Linked DNA regions of Diceros bicornis minor. The protein of the gene in region 3 purifies or fractionates together with the protein of the main gene of each other region. This does not show direct contact. Links are inferred from orthologs where the notes say so. Each region holds a gene or a part of one and is shown on either strand. Other genes may lie near its edges.

Region 1 (7,908 bases), on a different chromosome or scaffold from region 3:
ATCAAAACTCATTTCACCAAGGGTAGCTGATTATTAGAAATCTTGGTTATTACCCAATGTTTATGAAATAAAGATGGTCTGAGATTTCTCCCCATAAGAGGACACCCATTTCTTAAAACACATCAACATTTAATGCTCCAGCCAATATTATCCATCCACCAAGGATTTTTCAGATGGCATGTAACCGCTCTTTTGTTACACTTCCAGAATAATTTGCAACTGTACAAATATTTTAGTTGGCAATTTAGCATCACTCTGTTAAAATTAAAATAGCAAAAATTATTTTTCAGAAGTAGAGTTTTGTTGGAAAAAAACATGTTGACAACAAGTTTAAATATATACAGTATTCAGTACTAGATGAGTGATATCTGATTACTATCAGATGCAACAATGAAACCAGTGGTTTTTTTTTCAGTGATAAAAGGAAACAAGAAACTGATACTTGGAACAAATAAAACAAATCACTAAGCATAGAATTTTTTAAAGCACCGTGATATCTGCATCAATATGCATAATGTATGATAATTTTACAGTGTAAATTTCACTATTCTAATGCTAAGATAGAAAATATGCAGATGGTTATTTGTTGCTATACAAAGTAATTTTAGAACCCCATGAAATTACCAGTAAAATACATTTAAAGTTTGATTTAATATAATATCAGACCCTGAATTTAATTACAGATTATTTTAAGTTGAAATTTAAGAGAAAGATTAATGAATTATTTTTAAGAAGGCTCTTAAAAAGCAATGTAGAATTAAAGGATAAAAATTACATGACAACAAAGAAGTCCTTTATGGCAAAATCAACTCAATAAAAAAGTGCAAATTTAATTCTGATAAAAAGTTCAACATGAATTTTTTTCTCAAAAGGTCAATTCTTGTTTAAGTTGAAAATAATATAATTCATTAATCAAAGAAAAATGAACTTCACAGGTTCTTGTTATGTGGCAATTTTATTCGTAACAGAGTTTATAGAGTTGATCATATCATAAAATACTGCTGCATATCAGGAAATAAAATTAAAATATGGTTACTAATAAGTAGCAGGGAAACAACTCCAACAGTTGCTGTTTTTATGAAAAGCCCATGTTAGGGCATCTTTCCCTATATCAGTAAGTTACTTTATAAAACTAAAGTTCCACTTCAGTAGAATTACTATTTTTACATCACGAAGGACTAGATTGATACAACCAGGGGCATCAGTGCACTTGACTGTCACAAACAACTCAGACAGCCTGCAGAGCTTTGCATAAATTTTCATAGATAGGGCCGGGGGACACAGCTGAAAGATCACCCTGCAGAACAGACCTTGGTTTCACTTGGCTCTGCCTTTCCCCAGCACTACGGCTTGGACAGACAAGTCAGTTCACTTTTCCAAGTTTTAAGTGTCTTCCTCTGTCTCTGTCAAGCGCATTTAGACTCTTCCGTTTTAAAACACCAAAATGCTACAGTTTCTATCAAGTCAGGAAGAACTAAAAGCAGCCCTGGTTTTACTTTTTAAAAAAATAACGGCAGAAAAACACAAAATGGCTTGTCTCTTGCAATGTCACATTTACAGAGCTGAATTCCTAAATCCGAGAAGCACGCCCAGCTAGGGTTATATCAGTGAACCTCCAGATCCCGTAGTATTCACCACGTAACTCCTCTCACATCACTCCTCCCCTGCTCCTCCCCACCCCGCCTCAATCTCTCTTCTGCTTGTTTCAACGCCAGCAAATGGCTGTAAGCATCGTACGCTTCAGGATCAAATCATTTTAAAAGATGCGTTTTCAATCAAGTGTATCCTCTGCTTCCCCCACGTTCCTTCCAAACGAGTGAATTTTCCTGAAGACAGTGAAAATACGAATCAACAAATTCAGGCCTATGTTTTGTTCTGATTGCTCAAAAAGCAAAACGGAAAGATGCATCCTACCCATTCCCTCGGGAGCAGGAACGCGCTACCCAGCCCAGGAGAAAACAATTGCGCTGGTTCATCTCCCCGGTCCACGGAGCGCCGCCGCCAGGCCCTCCCAGTCCCGTCCGCGTCGTCATCTAGGCATGCTACACTGCCCACCGTGGCCGTGCTCGGACAGCCACTGGCCCTGTCTTCCAGGGGCTTACACTCTCCAAATCTGCGGAGGGCCCCGAAACAGAGACGCGATGACTCGGGACACGAATCCACGGCTTCCCGCCCCGCCTCGGGCAGCCGCTCGCGTTTTGTTCTCGTGCACAGGACGAAGGGAAGACACCCAAACCGCGCACTGGGCTCCGAGGACAATGCAGCCGCCGGGCGGCGCGTCCCCCCGGGGCACCACGGGGCCGCAGCCCTCGCGGGGTGCGGGACACCCCTCTCCGCGTCCTCCGCCGCCCCCAGCCCCGGACCAGCGGCACAAAAAGCGTCGGGACAGCGCGGTCCCCGGCGGGGGGCGCTGCACAAAGCCGGGGGCGGCGGCGGCGGGCCCGGAGGCCGGCGGGGAGCGAGGGGCGCGGCCGGGCCCGGCGGTGGGGTGGGCGCCGCGCGGCGTCCGGGAGCCCCCGGCCCAGCCCCCCGCGCCCTCGCGCCCGCGCCCCGCCGCCGCCCCGAGGCGGAGGATGTGGAGACGCGGCCCCGGCGCCGAGCGCATCACTCACCCCTCAGCGCGGGGACCGGCACCGGACGGGGAGGCGGGGCGCCGCGCCCGAGTCTCTCGCACGCCGTCGTCCCCCACCCCGTCGCCGCCGCCGCCGCGGACGAGCTCCCGGGCCCTCAGCCCCGCCGTGCAGTAACGTTATTCCACACACGCCCCACACCTAGCGGTAACGGCAGACAGCGGCCACCTAGTGCGCAGGCGCCTGGGGAAAGGGCGAGGAGCCCGGCCGCGTCCCCTCCTCCGGCTCCGTCCCGGCCATCTCTCACTGCGCAGGCGCCAAACCCAGACAATGAAAGCGGGTTGTGCTGAGGGTCTCACCCACCAGCTCGCCCAGCTGCCCAGTGCGCAGGCGTGCCCCAAAGACCCGCTCGAACAATGAAGCCGACCCTCGCGTTAGCTGGGACCGCAACCCGCAAGGACTACAGTTCCCAGCGGGCAGTCGGGTGGCTGGGCATGCTAGGATTTGTAGTGTCGGCCCCCTTCGCAGTCAGGCTGTATGGAAGATTTAGAGCTTCTTTCTTGAGAATTTATTTGGCCGTTTTGGCACATGTCGCGGCTGAAGGGTGCAGAGCTTGTTATGTGCGTCCTTGAGGAGCCTCCAGGATCAACTGCATGCTAGCAGATTTAGAGGAGTCAAGGCCTTCAGTGAGCCCTTTCTGTCAGTTGGGTGGTCCAAACAACAGGATGGGAAGAAGGCAGGACTAAGCCAGGGTGGGCTTCGGAAAAAGGGCGGAGCCTCCACGCAGTCTCTTGGCAACCGGATCTGGGCAAAGCTAGCGCTTGGAGCGCGGTCCCCTCTGGGAGTTGTAGTGTAGTCAGAAGGGCTCTTAGGAGCTTGGAGCCTGAGGCCCGGAGCCTGCAGACTACAACTCCCGACGTGCACCATGAGGACCAGTGGGTAGGAGGAGCCCCCGCGAGCTCCTGTCTGGTTCCATGCTTCCCCAGTCAGCAGCGGCAGGAAGCCGGCGGGCGCTTCTCCAGCGCTGAGGCCTGTTGTTCGCGGAGAGCGCTGGACGCTCCGTCACGTAGCTCCCGTCTCTGGGCCCCGAGTCTGTCATGGCGAAGTCCCCGGAGCACTCTCCCCTGGAGGAGGTTCTGGGGCAGTATCAGCGGAGTCTCCGGGGTGAGTTGCTCCGAACCTCTGTGCCGTAGCCCCTGGGGACCAGGGCCTGGCGGGCGGGAGCTGACCAGGCGCGTCTCCTGACACCTGGCTTCGGCCCCAGCCAGGATGCGGAGGAAGAAGATGGATGTTGCCGTGATCTTGGAGGAAGATAAAATAGTTGGTGTTTGTTTTTACCGTTAACCAGCGTTGTTCCCCTTGGCTCCCTTAATTACCTGACCCAACTCTGATTTTGGCATCCTTGGGCATCCTTCTCACCAGCGCCAGCAGAAACTCTTGGACGGCTCTCTGCTGCTTTTGCCCAGTTCCCATATTTTGCTGTCTAATCCAATAAATTCTCGATTCACACTTTTTACGCATTCAAGTTATGGTGTAGTGGGCTGAATGTGATTCGTTAGACCAGGAAAAAAAAACCCATTAATTATTATTTAAATCACAACGCCTTCTATTTAGGGTCTAGGCTGTTTACATATATTAAGTCATTTAAAACTTACAACAACATTAGGAATATCCATCTTTTACACATAGGGAAATCGAGATACAAAGAAGTTAAGCCAAAGCCCACACAGACCAGGTTAGTGGCAGAACCAGGTATTAAATTCAGTCAGGCTTGTCTGTGTCAAAAGCCTGTTTTTCTTTATTAATAATGTCACAGTTACTATTACTGAAACCTTGTTGAGTTAATTCAGATTTTCTTATTATAGGACCCTATGAGTGAGTATCTATAGAAGTGATGTTCCTACTTGTGGATAGCTCTGCCCTCTTGGAGGTCATATATAACATCTAGAAACCTCAGTTCTGTTCAAGTGAAAGTTATAGTATTGTCTGCAGAGTTATAGTGAGGAGCAAATGAAATAATCCACGTAAAGCAGTGATTGTCAAAATTTTTTTTTGCTGTTACCCGTAAGTAAGAAATACATTTTATATGGGACATATACGTACATATAAACTAAAAGAAAAGTTTTATTAAAGAATATTTATTGTACTAGGTGTAATACACTCTATTTTCTATTATTTGGTATTTTATTAATCCTCTAGGTCATGACCAACAATTTAAAAAAATTATTTAAAGCATTTAGAACATTGATTCTTTTATTAATTCAGTGCCTACTGTGTGTTAGGCATACTAGGTGCTGGAGACACAATAAGGAACTAGACAGTCCCTGTCCCCATGGAGCCTCTGGATTAGTGGAGGAGAAAGACAATAAATAAAATAATTACAGATTACTATGATAGAAAATAAGGGTAGAGATTAGTGCTTGGCAAGTAAGAAGCACTTATTAAATGTTAGCTGCTCTTTATAATTGGTACTTGCAGCAAAGAGAAGATTTTTCAAGGAGATTGGGAAGTTTATCTTCTAGTGACTCTAGACTTTCTAAGGGTTGTTGTTTCTTGTTTCCATCTGTCAGCAGTGTTACAAACTATCAACATTCTCAGTATTCAAACTGCAAGTGTAAAATAATTGGTCTTGATGAATACCTTCATCAGCCTACTGATGTTTCAAGAGCTGTTAGATACAGAAATAACCATTTCTAACTTTTCATGTGAAAGCAAGAAAAATACTGTGCACAGTGATAATATGAGTGATTTTGTTTAATTTTTGAGGTTGGTAAAAAAAATATTTGTTTTCCGTTATAAGTTTCTCCTAATGCTTCTCCTTTGCATTCCTTATTTTGAACCTTTATGTAAGCATTAGAGGCTATTTAATATTAAGCTTGTTTTGTTTTGTTTTGTTGTTTTGGTGAGGAAGATTGGCCCTGAGCTAACATCTGTGCCCATCTTCCTCTGTTTTGTATGTGGGACCCCGCCACAGCATGGCTTGATGAGCCGTGCGCCTGGAGTTTGAACCTGCTAACCCCAGGCTGCTGAAGCAGAGCGCGCGGACTTAACTACTATGCCACTAGGCTGGCCCCAATATTAAGCATTTGGATGCGGTAAAGTGGCTAATTTCAAACTAATGTTATAGTACTGTGTTTAATACCCATGATACTGCTTTCAATTATAGAGTGAAGGGTTTTCATTCAAGGATAATACATTTTAAAATAAATTTTAAATTTAGTGTGATAACAGTATAAGATAGTGAAAACATTTATAATCAAGAACAAACATAAAGCAGAGAAATAAGTTAAAAAAACTTTTTTTTTAATTTTTACTGATAGTTTTAACAATGAATCAAGAGATGGAACCTGAAATTTTTCATGAGTTTTTAGGACTTTTTAAATTATTTAGTAGCATTTTAATTTTTATGTTTATTTAGTTTATATAGCAGCTTATGGAAGGAAACAAAACAGAACTAATCCTGAAGCAAAGCACGATTAGAAGTTCTTCGTTTCACACATATAAATTACCACTTCTAAATAGGATAGCTCCCTTTAAAGTCAAATTTGTGTTTCTGAATAAACAAAGTATGGTGGCATTATTTTACATGTAGAACTTCATTATTTTAAATGTTTTTGCCGAATAACTTGAGAATTATGTTACTATACAATCGGGTAACATGCAATTTAAAGTTCTTTTGTCTTGTTTTATTTTGGCTTTGTTGGTTTGGTTTTCTCTATCTGCCATTTCTTCCCCAAAATGTCTTGCCTAGTTCATGCTTAGAGAAAGGCTATAGGCATTCTTGGTCTTTCCTCACCAGGTAATCCTCTGGTTTCTAAATAACTGTACACATAATCATTACTAGTATCCCTTCAGTTATATTCAGCCAGGAAGTAGCCATAGAAAAATGCAAAATGCTTTCACAATTTTCCATAATAGTCCCTCAATTTTTACAACTTTACCTCATTTCTTTAAGTATAATTTTTGGTACAGTTATAGTATATTAAGAATTTGAAGTTCTGATATGAAAAGCAAAGTCAAAGTTGCTTTCTTGCTTGTAAGACTTGAGTGGAATCCTTGCCTCTCCTTGACTCTGGTGACCCTAGAGCAGCCATGGAAATAGGGAGCCCGTTTGCAGACTCTACACTCTCCTCTCATCCTCTCCCTGACACTTTCCAGATATATTCACTGTTTGTCCTCTCTAAGGATATCTCCTGCTTTGGGCTGTCTGTTCCCCCAACTTCAAGAAATAGGAGAGGTTTAATGACTCCCCTTCAAAGTAAGAGTTCTGGCAGAAAAACTAGAAGGTGTCATTGCCCCACAGATCTGTAATATTATTTCTACACAGTAGATAATCTGAAAGTTTCCAGTGTGGTAAAAAGTGAGCATATCCCAGGTATCCTGGGAGTCACGGAATTTATTCTAGAACCAGAAGTGACTTGGGAGGTCTCCTGGCAGTATAGTTAGGTGTTCGTTCACTCTATAGGCAGCTGGAATTCAAGATGCCTAGAATGGCTGAGAACTATATTGGTAACTAGGGAGAATAGCAAATACCCCTCCTCTAATTTAAATTCAACACATCATTGTATAAGGCCATTAGGTATAAAATAAACAAGTTTATAGCCAAGAAAGGATCAGAGAAACCAGAATAACAGGCACCCAGGCTGTTTTAAGTTTTGTACACTTGAATGTAGGGATGTGGTATTAGAAAGAGGGAGAGAACTTGTGAGAAGTGCAGTGTCCCAGCCTTCATAACGATCATGTCTGGTCTGTTGCCACAGTGTTAGATATGGATACAGTTTTATCAACAACACCTGTATACACAACTCACTGTTCTAGCCGCCTTTGGTTGGGTGGGCATAAAGAAATATGGAACAAACTTGTACTGTAACATAAATATCTCATTTATTTTCTATATATATTTTCTATGCTGGCTCCCCCTTTTTCTTTCAACATTTTGGTGTTTCAGGCTCTGGGTTGAATTTGTGGAAGAGTGTGATGGGGTCAGAGAAGAGAATGTGGAACTACAAGCCAGGTCCCTGTACTCTTACTGTTGCTTTGCTGATAATCATCTGTGTTACCTTATGCAAGTTAATGAACTCTTCTTGGATTCTTGCTTCCTCATCTGTAAAATGAAAAGTTTGGACTAGAATTATTGCCTTTAGGAGCAAAGCAGATGACAAAATGTGTGATGGAGTCAGTGGAAGACACTAGAGAATGGTGAGGCTTGTGGCCAAACTGGCCAAAAGTTTCTGCTTTCTCTAAGAACATTCCAATTTCCTTCTTGCTCCCTCTCTCTTTCCTTCTTTCCCTGTCTTTTTCTCTTTTCCTCCCACACTGTGCTGGCCAAGCAGAACAC
Region 2 (7,213 bases), on a different chromosome or scaffold from region 3:
CGTCTTAGAAGAATAAATGCTGACCATTTTTTTCATGAGAACATGCGTGTGTACTCAATCTATAGGCTTGAATAGCTGGGTTGTCTCTCTTCATGCACCTAGAAGCGATGTGTGCATAGGAGAGCGAAGGAAAGGAGGAAGCCCAAGCAAAGAGGGGGGTACTACTTGTAAATTCAAATTAGTGTACCACCCACCTCTCTCTCTACTTTGTTTTGTTCAAGTTGTGACTGAGGAACTCTGGTCATTTTTGGTCATGTTCTACCCCTGAGGAAATGTCATAGTTCTTGCAGTTGGAGACATCAGTTTGCAATATGAACACTCATCTTTCCTCTACTCATGCAACCAGAGCCTGAGCCACTCCCTCTGGAGCCCACAGGCTCTACCCTGAAAGAGCCTCAAAGAGCATCCTAGAGTCAGGGAGTGACTGACTGAGTTTCTGAACCTCTTCTTCCTATGGTGGGAGGGGTGACTTGACCAGGGGCCTGGTTGGGAAACCAAACTGGGTGGCTTGAAAGCGAGGCTAAAGAAGAAGGGCTCTGGCGGAGATGGGGTCAGGAGAGAGGGTGTGTCTTCGGAGATGCCCTTCTGCAGGCCTTACAGTAAGCCCCCTCTCCCTGACTCCCCACACCTGGAGTGTGAGGTCAGGGAATTAGGAAGTGAGATCAAGTCTCAACTTTCGGTTTCTGTACCCTTGAACAGCTTGGTGAGGTCCAACTGACACCTTAGCCAAAGGCCCAACCCCAAAGCAAACCAGTGTGTGTATGTGGTCTGGGGAGGATGACAAGGAAAGAGGTACTCTGGACAGGGTGCAAGCTCTTCCTCACCATTTCTCAGGGTTCCAGCAGAGACTGGATTTAAGGGGCCTGCAGCCTCCCTTTCTCTCTTTCCCCCATCCCAGCCTCAGAGAGACCCAAGGACCAGCTGTCCCCAAGACAACTCCCCTGGGACAAGAGGCAATAAACCTGAATTCCTTAGCTCTTCCTCCTTTTCTGAGTCAGCCCCCAATAGGTTCACAGGGAACCACGATAGGGTAACAAGCAAAACGCTGTGAGAAGGAAGAAGGAGGCCCTGAGCCACATCTGGGTTACAAAAAACATTTTGAATTTGTAGAATATCAGAGATGATTACATTCAATCACAAATAGTGAAATGCTGTCTGAAATCACACACACGCATATGTACATATTTAAACACACGGGATGTCCCTTCCAGGTATAGATCATTGGAAGCTGACAGCGGTAAACTGAAGCTAATAAATCAGAAGTTCTTCCTGTTGAATGAAAGAGAGGCTGTTGATAGTATTACAGACCTGGGCAGGAAACTCTGGAGCTCTGTTCTGGCAACACCTCTTATTTTACAACAGCTCTGAGCATATCGTCTTTTGTTACCTCCAGGTCTTTAATTTGCCTGGTGGGGACTGGGAGGTACCTGCCAATACTTCCACCTGTGTGCCCAATCACACCCCCACCCCGCTCTCCCAGGAAACTTACACTCATGTTTATTCCTTCTATTCTACCTCTCCCTCTCAACAGTCTTCCTACCAGATGTAAAATAGGCTTGTCTCTTTCTTCGCTGCCTGACTCCTAGTTATCCACCACCTCCATTTTCTCATCTCTTGTTTATTCCTCAGCCCACTCTAATTCACTTCTGGCTTTAACTACTCCAGGATTTCAAGCTTCCTCTTATATTTGATATTATTGATCACTCCTTTCTTCTTGAATCCCTGTTTCCTTCTACCTCCCTGGCAGGTCATTGGCAGGCTCATCCTCTTCATGGCCATTTAATGCTGAAGTTCCTCAAGCTTGGTTCCTGGCTGTCTTCTGTTCTTGCCCACTACCCTCTTTCCCTCAGGCCTAGGCTAACTCATCCATACCCAAGACTTCAAGTCATCATTATCTGTCGATGATTCATCTCTTATCTACCTGAGCCCAGCTCTGTATCTCTAAATGCCAACTTGGCATCTCTTTTGGGCAGATCAAAAGCCTTCAAACTACCTGCTCTCACCATCTTTCCACTCAAGCTTTGTCCTCCTCCAAGATTCCCATCTCTGAACCAGCACCAACATCTATCCTTGGCCGCAAGCCAGAAACCTGTGAGCTTTCCTTGATATCTCTCTTTCCTTCACTGCCCACATAGCCCATCATCAACTTCTGTGCTTTGGATCTCCTAAATGGTCTTCAGATCTTTCCTCTTACTGTTTTCATGACTATTACCATAGACCAAACCTCTACCATCTGTTATCTAGACTACTACATCCACCTGGCCTCCTGCCAATATGGAATCTTCAAGATGCCATTCTGACCATGCCACCCCCTTTGCTGAAGCATGTCAGGGTCTTCCCATTGCACTTAGGATAAAGACAAGATTTTCAACATGGGTAGTATGGCTGCACTAGGTTTGGTCCCTTTCCAGTCTTCCCAACTTCATCTCATAGCTCCTTCTTCCTTGATCTTCCAGCAGCACTGGCTTTTCCTCAATTTCTCCAACTCACCCTGCTCCCTCTCACCACAAGACCCTTGCCCACTAAGTTACTTCTGTCTGAAATATTTTCTGCCTAGTTAAATCTATTCTCAGTTCAAGAGGCAGTTCCTCAAGAAAGCCTTTCCTGGCTTTATTAATTCTATCAATTGGTTTCATAATACTGTGTAGCCATATCAATTTGTATTATAATGAGGTGATCACTTTGCATTTGTTTACTGTTACTATTTCCAAATTAAAGTGATTAAGTCTGTAAGCTTCATCATATTATTATCAGTGCTAGCACAGTGCCTGGCACAGAATGCATGCAATAAATACTTATTGGAGAAATAAAGGAAGGAAGGAAGGAAATAAAGAAGCCTGAGAGGGAGGGAGGGAATGAGGAGAGAATGAATGAATGAATGCTCACATTTGCGTTCCATTTCAGAATGACTGGAAATAGGCCAACCCAACATGACATGGGAAGATAGTCTACCTGAATTCACTCATTTATTCAATAAATATTTATTGATTCATTATTAAAGTAATGTACATTTTTCTGATTATGAACATAACTGTTCCATTTGGAACCCATGGAAAAATACCCAAAGGATAAAAGAGAACCAATTTACGTTTCATTCCACAGTCTAATGATGAACTATGGTTAAAATAATTTGGCATATTTCTTTCCAGGTTTTTTCTATGTATATATAGTATATAAGTAGGATCATTCTCTCTATATATAGACTTGCTTCTTTTTCTTAATGATGTATTATGAACATTTTCTCTTGTTGTTAAGAATTCCTCCAACACATGGCATTTAAATAGCTAAAATGTATTCTATTGCCAAGATGTATGTAGTTTAGACACCCTTCCACTCATTGCTGGATATTTAAGGGCTTGCCAATGTGTCACTTCTATAACAACATCTACACGCTTTGTGGGGTCCAGAAATAGCGTAATGCATGGAATCTGGTAGGAGGTGGATTTTGGGAAAACAAGAGGCAGCTTTTTCCAGCTGGTTGAAGGGAACATTTATTTGCTTGTGGGTTGCACCAGAGGTGGATTTTGGGAAAACAAGAGGCAGCTTTTTCCAGCTGGTTGAAGGGAACATTTATTTGCTTGTGGGTTGCTGGGCCCTGCGCAGGTGTCTTCGGAATGCACCACACTGTTGGTCAAGGTAATGAGCTCTTCGTCCCTCAGGTGTGCGCCCGGGGCCGGGAAGTCTGCTCCTCCGAGCAAGTTTGGTCTAAGCGCACCTCACCTGCAAACCCCGGGGCGAGGAGCCCCTGAGGTATTGGCTCCTACTAGCGGACCGCCCCGGGCCAGCCGCCGGGCACTCTGGCCACGCGCCGCCACGTGCCGGGAGCAGGGCGCCGCCCCCTCCGGCTCCCCGCCACGCCCCTCACACGCCGCCCTCAGAGGCTCTCTCCGCAGCTCCGCCTCCGGGCGACCTCCGCCAGTCCTCCCGGCCCCCAGAGTAGCCCCGCCCCGCAATCCGGGCCCCGGGGCCGCCCCGCCCGGCGGGCCGCTCGCGAGGCGTGGGGGCGGCGCCCTGCGCGATGACGTGGGCGGGCGTGCGCGGTGACGGCCCGCGTCCCTGTTACTCAGCGGAGCGGCCGAGGCCGGACGACGCGGCCCGGATCGCGGAGCGGCCAGCGGCGCTGGGTAACGGCCGCGGCGACCGCCCGGACGGCGCCGGTGCCCGCCGGCGGGCTCTCCTGTCGCCGTTCGCTGCGCTGCCTGGTGAGTGCGGCGGCCGTCGTAGGGCCTTGGCGGCCCGCGGCCCCGCCGTGTTTATGTTATTGTGCCGCGGCTGCCGCCTTCTCCCCAGCGGTGCCCCCCTCCCGTGGTGGGGGCGGGAGCGCGCGGGGCGGGGGGCGCGCGGGGCGGGGGCGGCGCGCGAACAATAGCGGCCCGGGAGGCGGCAGCCGGCGGGGGGCGTGGGGCTGCGGGACCCTGGCCCGCCGCGCAGCTCCGCCCGCCGGTCCTCGCGCGCCCTGCTTGTGCGGGTCCCGCGCCCGCGTCGGGAGGCGAGAAGGGAGCGGGGGTGGGTGGCAAGTTCGGAAGTACTTCGGCGGAGGCGCCGGGGCGTCCCGCCGCGCCCTAGTGCCTCCCGCGGCGGTGGCCCGGTCCCGGCGCCCACGGGGACCGTGTTTTGTTTCCCGGTGGTTTCTTTGTGCTGACGTTCTGAGCGAACGTAGCAGCGGCGCGGAACAAGGTTGGGGTGGCCTTCAGCTCTGGGCTGCGAGGGAGAGCGGGGCCTGGGGCTGGGGCGAAGGGTGGCCGTCAAGCTCGGCGCGAGCTTCAGTGGTCAGCGGGCGTTTCTCTGGACGGTCGCTCGGTGGTGACCTTTTGACTTTTTCACCCCACCCTCCGACCTCTTTGTCTTGCATTTGTGTTCCCAATCCTTAGGTGGTAGAACCAAGTCCGTTTTAAAGTATTGCGATGAACACTTTTAATTTTAATTTCTGCAAGTTCTCTATCAGATGTTTACTGTGAACTTGGTAACATGTTGACTGCGTGGTATCAGACGATGTTCGGTGGTTACTGTTTTTACCTCTGAAATTCAGTAATCGTTACAGTAGAATTCTGGTGTGTCAGTCCATTGTGTTTTGAGATGAGCATCCAGCAAATACCTCCTCGGCAATTAGAACATCATTTCATTCATTCATTCAGCAACTGTTCAGTACGTACTGTACTCAGATGGAGAGTTTGAAGATAAAAAGAAATATCCTTTAGTGGAAGAGGATGCTTTGACTGAAATATAATAGATGTGCCTTTAAATGAGACGGTTATGTAAGTGATGTGTGTTAAAAAAGGTATAGTTATACTCTGGGTCATTTTAGTATTTTTTAGTAGTACATCTGGAACTTATAGTGTAATGTTATATTAGGAAGTAGAGTTAGATTTGGTCTAAATGTACAACAGCTTTTATTTATTTGCGAATTTAATTTTTCAGTCTTACAGCCTTACAGTGATTTGTAACGTTTACCTCAGATTCCCCTGCTGTGGGTTAAGCCTAGGAGGTCAGATGCTGTAAGTGAACATGTTTAGTGCTGTGCCTGACAAAAGCAAGCCATCAAAATGGGACTTCCTTGAGGACAGGCCTGTCTTGCGTCTGTGTCTCCTCCAGCACCTAGCCTGGATATGTAGTAAGTGTTCAATAAAAGTCAGGTTAATGTAAAGCTCTTTACAACTGATAGTATTTCAAATCAAGCCTTAAAAAAAAGTTTAACGTTCTCTGTAAAGTTTTGGAAGCCTTGTGCAAACTGTTACTTCCAGATGGCTAAATGATCAGTTCATATGTATTATCTGTCACGACAGTAGGGGCTTTTGAATCATTTCAGTATCAATTTTTTTTTTTTCTATTCTATACTTTTAAATCCTAAAATAAAACCTTGTCTAAAAAATTTTTTTAATATGTGTGTATCTGTGTGCGATGTATATATAGCATTCATATACATATATATCTTGCACACAGACACACAGTGATATTTCAGTAGGGGTCTAAAATGATTGCATTTATCCTTTTGTGAATATTAATTGAAAAGTTTCTGATGACTCCTGTATTTTAAGTGGAAAAGCTAGAACAAAGGAAACAAGTTGCATAAAAGTTTTATTAGAAATGTTTAATTTCTAATAACATTTTAGAAATGTTTGTTGGTAATGTTTAATTTTAAATTCTTCATTGTACTAATACTATTGATGAAGCATACCATTGATGAAGCATATGGGCCTAAAACTCAAAATAATTGATTTATTTAATAAATAATAATAAATAATAACTTGATTTATCCAAGTTACATCTCTTTTCTACTCACTACTTAATGAATTTTGACATGTGTTTTGGAGAATTTCAGGTGAGCTCTTTGTTATCTGATGTAGAGTACAAATAAATAAGAAAATGATATTTTATTGAAATAAGGGATGAAAATCTTGAGATACCAAACTGTTATTGCTTTACCTGGTTAATTAAGGTATGTCAGGTTCCAGTAGGAGTTACTGATACAAGTCCTTTGGCAGTAGCTCACTGTCAGGCTACATGTCAAGCCAGAGTTTTTGTTTTGTTTTCTAAATTCTGTTGGTTTTTGAAAATAACAGCTTTATCGAGATGTAATTGATATACCATAAAATTTACTCTTTTAGTTGTGCATCAGTGGTTTTTAATATGTTCACAAAGGTATGCATTGATCACCATTTTCCAGAACGTTTTCATCACCCCAAGGAGAAGCCCTATACCCATTAGCGGTCACTCCCCATTCCACTCTAAATTATATTTAAAGGAAGAGATAGCACTGAGTCTCTTAGTAAGTACTATAGTATTCCGTTAATGAATTTGAAAAGGACTCCCTTTAAGTGTCCTGGCAGAGTAGGAAACTATGTCCTTCATACCACCTTACATCCTGGGAGAAAGGCCACTTGGAAAGGAAATTAGTTTAAGAATAAATTTTACCAAAATTAATGAGGTTGGAATCTTAACTATTTTCTCAATGTTTAATATTATGGAATTGACCTTGTGAAGATACTCAAGGCTCAGTGAAACTTCTTGAAGTAATTTGTTGTTAAGTATCTGGTCACCAGCTTTCCTAGTGGTTATTAAGAGGTTGTTGAATAGAAGCCTGACTCTTGTTGGTCTGCTTTGCCAGTGAGTTGAGTTTGACAAATTTGAGTCATCTAGATAGTTGAGATTCTTTGTTGCACGTGTGGAAGTATAAAATGTCTGACATTAAGAGGCCAGCTCTTTAGAGGTCTCT
Region 3 (7,056 bases):
TGTGGTAGATTGTATTATGGTTCAAAACATTTGTGGCCCTTCTTCACATGAAGGTTACACATCTCCACTCCACTGGCCTGTGGCTTGCCACAGACTCACTTTGGGCAAAGGAGTGACAGTGACATGCCCCACTTCTAAGTATAAAATTTACCAGGAGCCACTGGGTGATTCTCCCCACTTTCCCTTTCCCCTCCTCTCACAAGACCAGCAATATTGCACATAGTGGCGGCTCCTTTGGCCTGAGTCCCCAGTTAAGATACTGTAGAGTAGGGCCACAAATGGCCTGCAAAGGACACAGTGTGAGCAAGAAATAACCCTTTGTTGTAATAAGCCACTGAGATTTTGTGTTTGTTGCTGCACATAACTTAACCATGCTGATTCCTACAGACCCCACAGTTTGTTTAAGCCACTGTTATTTAGGGATTTTGTTACTGCCAGCCAGGTGCAATTCGTAACTGACACGCCCTCCATTAGAGATGACTGTCATTTGTCCCTGAAAGGGCCTGAAACAGAACGAATGAATGTTTCCTCTGGCTGCCGGGGAAGGCTTTCAAGGTATTTCCCGGCAGCCAGTTCCCTCGATATGTTTCACCTTGTTCCTACCTAGTATCCATGCCCTCCCCTCAATCTCCTTTGGAAAGTGCTCCTCACCCAATTCTTAGCTCAGTGGCTTCTAGAAGACTGACTCAGGGGCGGGCCTTGAGGGGAGAATGGACTAGCCTGTGTGAGGAACAGCCTGGCAGCCACTGGTGGGATTTCAACAACACAGACATGAAATGATTTTTATCAAGTCATCTGGCCGCTATGCACAGTTGTCACTGTTCTCCTCATTATTATATGTGAAGCACTTAGAACAGTGCCTGCTATACAGTGAGTGCTCTCTAAGTTATTATTATTACTGTTGTTGTAAGAGAGGCAGGGGTGGAGGCAGGGAGACCAGCAAGCAGCTGTCAGTGTCTCATTAAGAGATGACAGCGGGGCCGGCCCCGTGGCTTAGCGGTTAAGTGCGTGCGCTCCGCTACTGGCGGCCCGGGTTCGGATCCCAGGCGCGCACCGATGCACTGCTTCTCCGGCCATGCTGAGGCAGCGTCCCACATACAGCAACTAGAAGGATGTGCAACTATGACATACAACTATCTACTGGGGCTTTGGGGAAAAAAAAGTAGGAGGATTGGCAATAGATGTTAGCTCAGGGCTGGTCTTCCTCATCAAAAAAAAGAGGAGGATTAGCATGGATGTTAGCTCAGGGCTGATCTTCCTCACACACACAAAAAGAGATGACAGCAGCTTGGACTACAATGTGACAACAAAGGTGATGAGAAGTGGTCAGACTGAATTTTTTTCTTTTTCTTATTTCCTAATAGTTTAGTTAGGATTTTTCCCATTTGCATTTATAATTGTAGTACCAAGCTATTAGGGGTTTTGTTGTGATTGTTCCAGGATGGGCATGTGTTTGGAAGGTAGAGTCAAAGGACGGGTTAATGGGCCAGTTTGGGGGCAGTGGTGCTGAAGAAGAGGAAGGACCAGGGGTGACTCCCAGGTTGTGTATTCAGTCCCTTGATGTCTGACCCCTCACCTATCCATGAGCTCTGTCAGGGCCAGAACAAGAGCTGTCAGGGTCCTCTGTGTCCAGCAGGGGCTTGCTTACTCCAGGAGACACTCAGAGTTGCTGAATTAATAAATGGTGCCAGAGGGATATATTTTAAAAAGCACGTCTGGACACACTGATTTCAGCTTAAAGACTCCTCTGCTCTCCTCCTGCCCACACCAGGGTCTCTTGGGATGGCTGGAACATGGACGGCTGGTTTCCTGAGGAGCCCATCTGAAATCCATTCACTGAATTCGTCCAACAAATATTTACTGAGTGCCCACTATGTGCCAGACACTGTTCCAGGTGCTGGGGACACAACACAGAACAAGACAGATAAAAATCCCTGCCTTCCTGGAGCTGACATTCTAGTCGGGGAGACAATAAAGGAATACATCAAATACGTGGTATGCCAGAGAGTGATGAGTGTTAGAGGGAGTAATAAAGCAGGAAGCAAATAGGGAGACTATGTATCTATCTGGGAGAAGGTGATCATTTTACACGGAGTGGTGGTCACAAAAGGAAGAACTTTCCAGGCAGAGGGAACAGCACAGGCAAAGGCCCTGGGCCACAGTGTGCCTGGCATGGTAGAGGAACATGGAGTAAGCCAGTGTCACTGGAGCAGAGTAAGGGGCAGGAGGGAGGAGATGACGTCATACAGATATTGGGCAGCCAGCTCCCGTAGGGCTCTGTAGATCTGCTTTCTGCCTGCTCGAGCTTCACCTTCTTGTCTTTTACAGAGTGAGGTGGGAGCCAGGGGAGGGATCTGAGCAGAGGAGGGCCCTGATCTGACTCAGGGGTTCACAGGTTCCCTGTAACTGCGTGTTGAGAACAGACTGTGGGAGCAGGTTGACCAATGTAGAGGCTATTAAAATAGTGCAGTGGGGGGGAGGGGTGATAATGGCCAGGACCAGGGTAGGGGCAGAGAATGGGGTTAGAAGTGGTCAATTCTGGATAGATTTTAAAGGGAGAGCCAACAGGATTTGCTGATGGACTGGTTGAGGAATGTGTCCTGCTCCAGTTAGACTAACAAACCTGTAGTCCAACAAAGTCAGGTTTCTTTACCATGGCAAGGAGGGAGACTGCACACCAGAGGTACTGTGGGGAGTCTCATCAAAGGAACAGATAAGAGTTATTATCTGGGTTTGGGGGAAGGCTGAAGTTTAGGTGAAATGCAAATGAAACAGTGTTGGGATAGGCTCAAAGCAAAGCAGAACTGTGGGTAAATGGATCCATACCAGGTCTGGATTGTGAAGCGGGCCCAGGGTCCTGTCTCCTTGGAAGCAATAGAGTTTAGACACATGTGGACTACTCTGTCCTGAAACCCCTTACTGGAAACTCTGCACCTGGATTATAAATCGAGGCCGCTTCTTTGTGTCAAAGTGACTTAACTCCTCCAGGCGTTAAGTGAGATGTTTTATGGTTACTGATATAATTTCAAACAGCAAAGTTTGTGATCATCTATGATTTCAGAGAACAAAGTTTCCTAGTGAGTAAGAAAGCAGCAGTCACTCAAAGAAGAGTTGTGTCACTTTACATCTGCAGCATGTCCTTGAGCAAAATATAGAAATACTTTTTCCTATTAACTCTTCAGCTGGCTTTCTGTGTCTGCTATACCAGCCAAATAAATGAGAAGGAAGATTTTTTTTTTTACTGTTCAAGCTAAGATTTTTAGTTTCTCAAGTGTAAGGAAAGAGGAGAGGTAAGGATGACGCTAAGGATCTCAAGCCTGAACAACAGGAAGGATTGAAAGCTATTAACTAAGATAGGAAAGGCTGTGGGGGAGACAAGAGCAGGAGGTCAGTTTCAGATGTTTTGAGTTTGAGATGCCTCAAATTCGTGGAGATGGCGAGTGGGCGGCTGCAGGCTCTTATAGAGCTCGGACTAACCTCACTTCTCCCTACGCAGCCCTCCTCTCATTCCGTTCGCCCCGTTCACTACCTGTAGTTAATCGTCTACCCCTGCTGTCACACATCTGCACCTTCGTACGTGAGGTGTGTGCTGGTGAAATGCTGGGAATACTGTCTCTTCACCTTGCTAACTCACACTCGCGGGCTGGACCGGCTGAACAACACAGCGGCACTCATCCTCGGGCCCCGCCCCCACAGGGCCCCGCCCCCTGCAAGCCCCGCCCCGCGCTTGCGCTCACTTGTAGAAGCTCACCGGGCGGTTGTCCGCGCCCAGTCGGCCCGCAGTGTTGGAACAGTTCGGAGCCCGGCAGTACTTGGGCATGGCTGTCCTGCCCCGCTGAGTTTGGCCCGATCTGCAGCGCACTTTGGTCCTCGCCGGACGCCGCCGAACCCCGCCCCGCCCGCGCTCTCACCGCCTACCTCACGTGACGTCCCTTGGTGCTTGGTCACGTGCTGGGGAGGGAAGAGAGCGCCTGCGTACTACGCGCCCTTCCGCGTTACCACAGCTACGCCCTCGTCATGTGGCGAATGGGGAAGAGCGAGTGCGTCTGAGCAAAGCCCCATTTCAGCCACCCTGACCTTATCGCGCGTTGGGGGAGTGGAGGAGTCACGGCGTTTCTGAGTCTGCGCCAACTCATCAGTCTTTTTCGGCTCCACCCCACGCTTACATCCGGGCGACTGCTGTTGGGCGGATAGTCGTCTTGGTGGGTGAGGGTCGTGCAGCAGCAAAAATCGAGGTGCGGAGGCTTTGGCCTTCGCCTCGTGATAGTTAAAACCTGTGTGTTTCAGTGAATGGTGAAAACACAGACTGGATAAAAAAGCCACGACTTTTGATCGAGCATCAGGCAGACTAGCTGTGGCTCCACCCGATCAGACTCTCCGCCCCGCCTCTTAGCCCTCATTGGTCAAAAGCGGCGCTCGGCGGCCCTGCGATTGGCCAGACCGGCGGCCTGCCGCGTCCAATGGGCGGCGGCGCCGGCTTTCCCGCGGCTGTTCGCTATTCAAGTGGGTTGTGGAGGCGGCGGCGGCGGTTGAGGAGTGAAACGGTCGCCCGCCTCCGGCGCGACGATGGCAGCCTTGGGACCCGGAGGCTACGCGCGGAACGATGCAGTCGAGAAGCTGCCATCCGTCAATGCGGGAGTTTCGGCGCGGAGGGGCCAGTCCTCCCCGCCCCCCGCTCCACCGCTCTGCCTCCGGCGGCGGACGCGACCTTTGGCGGCGCCCGAGGACACGGTGCAGAACCGGGTGAGGTGCTGTTTGCCCTGCCCACCCATTTCGTGGCTACCTGGGCCTCCCTGGTCCCGCCCTCAGATCTTTGGCCCCGTCTATCAGCCTCGGCTAGTCCCCTTGGCTGCTCTCTGGCCCCGCCCCGTCTCCTAGGTCCCGCCCCTTTAGCCAGGGCTCCTCCCACCGTCCCGTGCCCTCTCTCGGGTACTGCCTATCGTTCCTAGCCCACTTCTAAACCCCTGGCCCCACGGCACCCTTGGCACGTTGCTGGGTTCCTCCCTGGTCCCATCCCTCGGAGTGCTTTTTAGGTCTGATCACCTCCTAGTCCCGCCTTTCTGCATATCCCTTTAGTCGCCTTTAGACGTGTCTCTGGACCCTTCCACTGTGGTTGACCTCGCCCCTCGCCGGGTGTTTAGGGTCCCTACTGAGGTTCAGTCCCAAGTCCTACCTGCTTCAACTCTCCCTCAGCTCTACTCCTCCTTCCCTCACCCCTGCCTTCTGTTTCCTTCTTCCTTACCACGGTGGGATTCTTATTCCATATTGCCACCCTAAGTTATGGAGAGGATGTGAATACCATGAGTAAAATCTCAGCATCGCTGCCGGGGGGAGGGCATACAGAACAGTTTCCTAAGTCCTGAGACACAAACAAAGGAGATTTTAGAGTAGGTAGAAGGAATTCGATTAGCACAGCGCAATTTTTAAAAAAGTGTTCTCCAACTCCTTGAGCCACAAAGTCTGTTTGTGTAAAATGGAGATAACAATAACCATACCGTGGAGTTGTAGAGAGGTGAAATGAAGTTGTGAATATGACCTGCTTGGCACAGTGTCCAGATGAAACGTAGCTGCTGGTGGATCTTGTTCCTGCTCCTTGATTTCCTGCTGCACTCTGATTATATCACCCACTCCTTGCAAGGCCCTGGGCAAGTGGCCCCTGCCCACCTCTCTGGCTGTACCTGCCTTGTCCTCTCTCTCACGAAGATTCAGTCACACTGGCCTGCTTTCTGTTTTCCGGAGGCTCCAAGCTCTTTCCAGCCTCCTAACCTTTGTGTTTGGTGAGTTCTCTGGGCTTTTTGCGGCAATCTACCTGGCTGGCTCTTCATCACTCACGTCTCAGCGTGACTATCCCTACCCTGAGAGGCTTTCTTGAACCCCAGCCTAAAGCAGACACCCACCTTAATCTCTCACCCAGCGCCCTGAACTTCATAGCCCTCATCTTGTATGTTCCTGAAAGTGCCTTGTGAGCTCTAAACAATGTACAAAAGAGGAATAACCACAGCAGTTTCAGAGAGGCAGTACAGCAAGGTGGCTAACAGCATTGCCTCTGGACCCAGCCCACCAGGGCTTAAACCTTAATTCTGTTCTTTCTGTTAGGAACTTTTCTGTGCCTCCATTTCCTCATCTGTAAAATGAGGATAGTAGTATAAATATTCCCTTATAGGGTATTTTTGAGGATTAAGTGAGCTCACCTGTCTTAAGCACTTAGAACAATACCTGGCACATTGCAAGTACTCTGTTAGTGCCAGCTGTGACTGTTATTATTAAAATACAGCTGTGACTATGTATTTTGGATAATTGATATCATTTTTTATTTTTCTTGCTTGGCTGGACAGAGTCCATCTGGCTTGCAAAAGACCTAGTCTAAAAATGACCAGTTAGGGCCGGCCCGGTGGCTTAGCGGTTAAGTGCATGCGCTCTGCTGCTGGCGGCCGGGGTTCGGATCCCGGGCGTGCACCGACGCACCGCTTCTCCGGCCATGCTGAGGCCGCGTCCCACATACAGCAACTAGAAGGATGTGCAGCTATGACATACAACTATCTGCTGGGGCTTTGGGGGAAAAAATAAATACATAAAATCTTTAAAAATTACCAGTTATACTAATCCTCAGTAATGCTGATTGACAAATAAGACCCACGTAAGTGCCATTGCTTGGGTGCCTGTTTAGAGTCCTGCTGCTGCTCCTTCCTGGATGGGTCACCCCTCTGGGCCTCTGTTTCCTCGTCTGTAAGATAGAGATGATGATGACAGTAGTGACATCACAGGGTTAGTGTGAGCATTAATAAGTTAACACAGTTATAGGTATTGGAACAGGGCCTGGCTCCTTGTAAATGCTCAGTGAACATTAGCTATTAGTATCCTGTTTGCCTTTCATTTCTCTATTTTTTTTTTGTGAGGAAGATTAGCCCTGTGCTTACATCTGCCAGTCCTCCTCTTTTTGCTGAGGAAGACTGGCCCTGGGCTAACATCCGTGCCCCTCTTCCTCTATTTTATGTAGGACGCCACCACAGCATGGCCTGAGAAGCAGTGCATTGGTGCGCGCCCGAGATCCGAACC

Evidence for each region.
Region 1: the proteins of WDR62 (region 3) and CEP170 purify together in Homo sapiens (affinity purification with mass spectrometry; 3 studies listed by BioGRID and IntAct, with this or other methods). This does not show direct contact. The link is inferred for Diceros bicornis minor from reciprocal best matches to the Homo sapiens genes WDR62 and CEP170.
Region 2: the proteins of WDR62 (region 3) and MAPK8 purify together in Homo sapiens (affinity purification with mass spectrometry; 5 studies listed by BioGRID and IntAct, counting the BioPlex papers as one, with this or other methods). This does not show direct contact. The link is inferred for Diceros bicornis minor from reciprocal best matches to the Homo sapiens genes WDR62 and MAPK8.

What each region holds. Positions count from the first base shown.
Region 1 is NC_080777.1:2,072,392-2,080,299, reverse strand, and holds the start of CEP170 (centrosomal protein of 170 kDa), read right to left. Parts: upstream 3,021-7,908; 5' UTR 2,934-3,020; intron 2,857-2,933; exon of another isoform or gene 2,613-2,856; intron 2,090-2,612; exon of another isoform or gene 1,915-2,089; intron 1-1,914. Other genes in the region: SDCCAG8 (serologically defined colon cancer antigen 8), read left to right, coding at 3,668-3,734.
Region 2 is NC_080745.1:12,136,883-12,144,095, forward strand, and holds the start of MAPK8 (mitogen-activated protein kinase 8), read left to right. Parts: upstream 1-4,120; 5' UTR 4,121-4,202; intron 4,203-7,213. UniProt on the Homo sapiens protein: Serine/threonine-protein kinase involved in various processes such as cell proliferation, differentiation, migration, transformation and programmed cell death.
Region 3 is NC_080773.1:8,598,935-8,605,990, reverse strand, and holds the start of WDR62 (WD repeat-containing protein 62), read left to right. Parts: upstream 1-4,001; 5' UTR 4,002-4,566; coding exon 4,567-4,743; intron 4,744-7,056. Other genes in the region: THAP8 (THAP domain-containing protein 8), read right to left, coding at 3,738-3,820. UniProt on the Homo sapiens protein: Required for cerebral cortical development. Plays a role in neuronal proliferation and migration.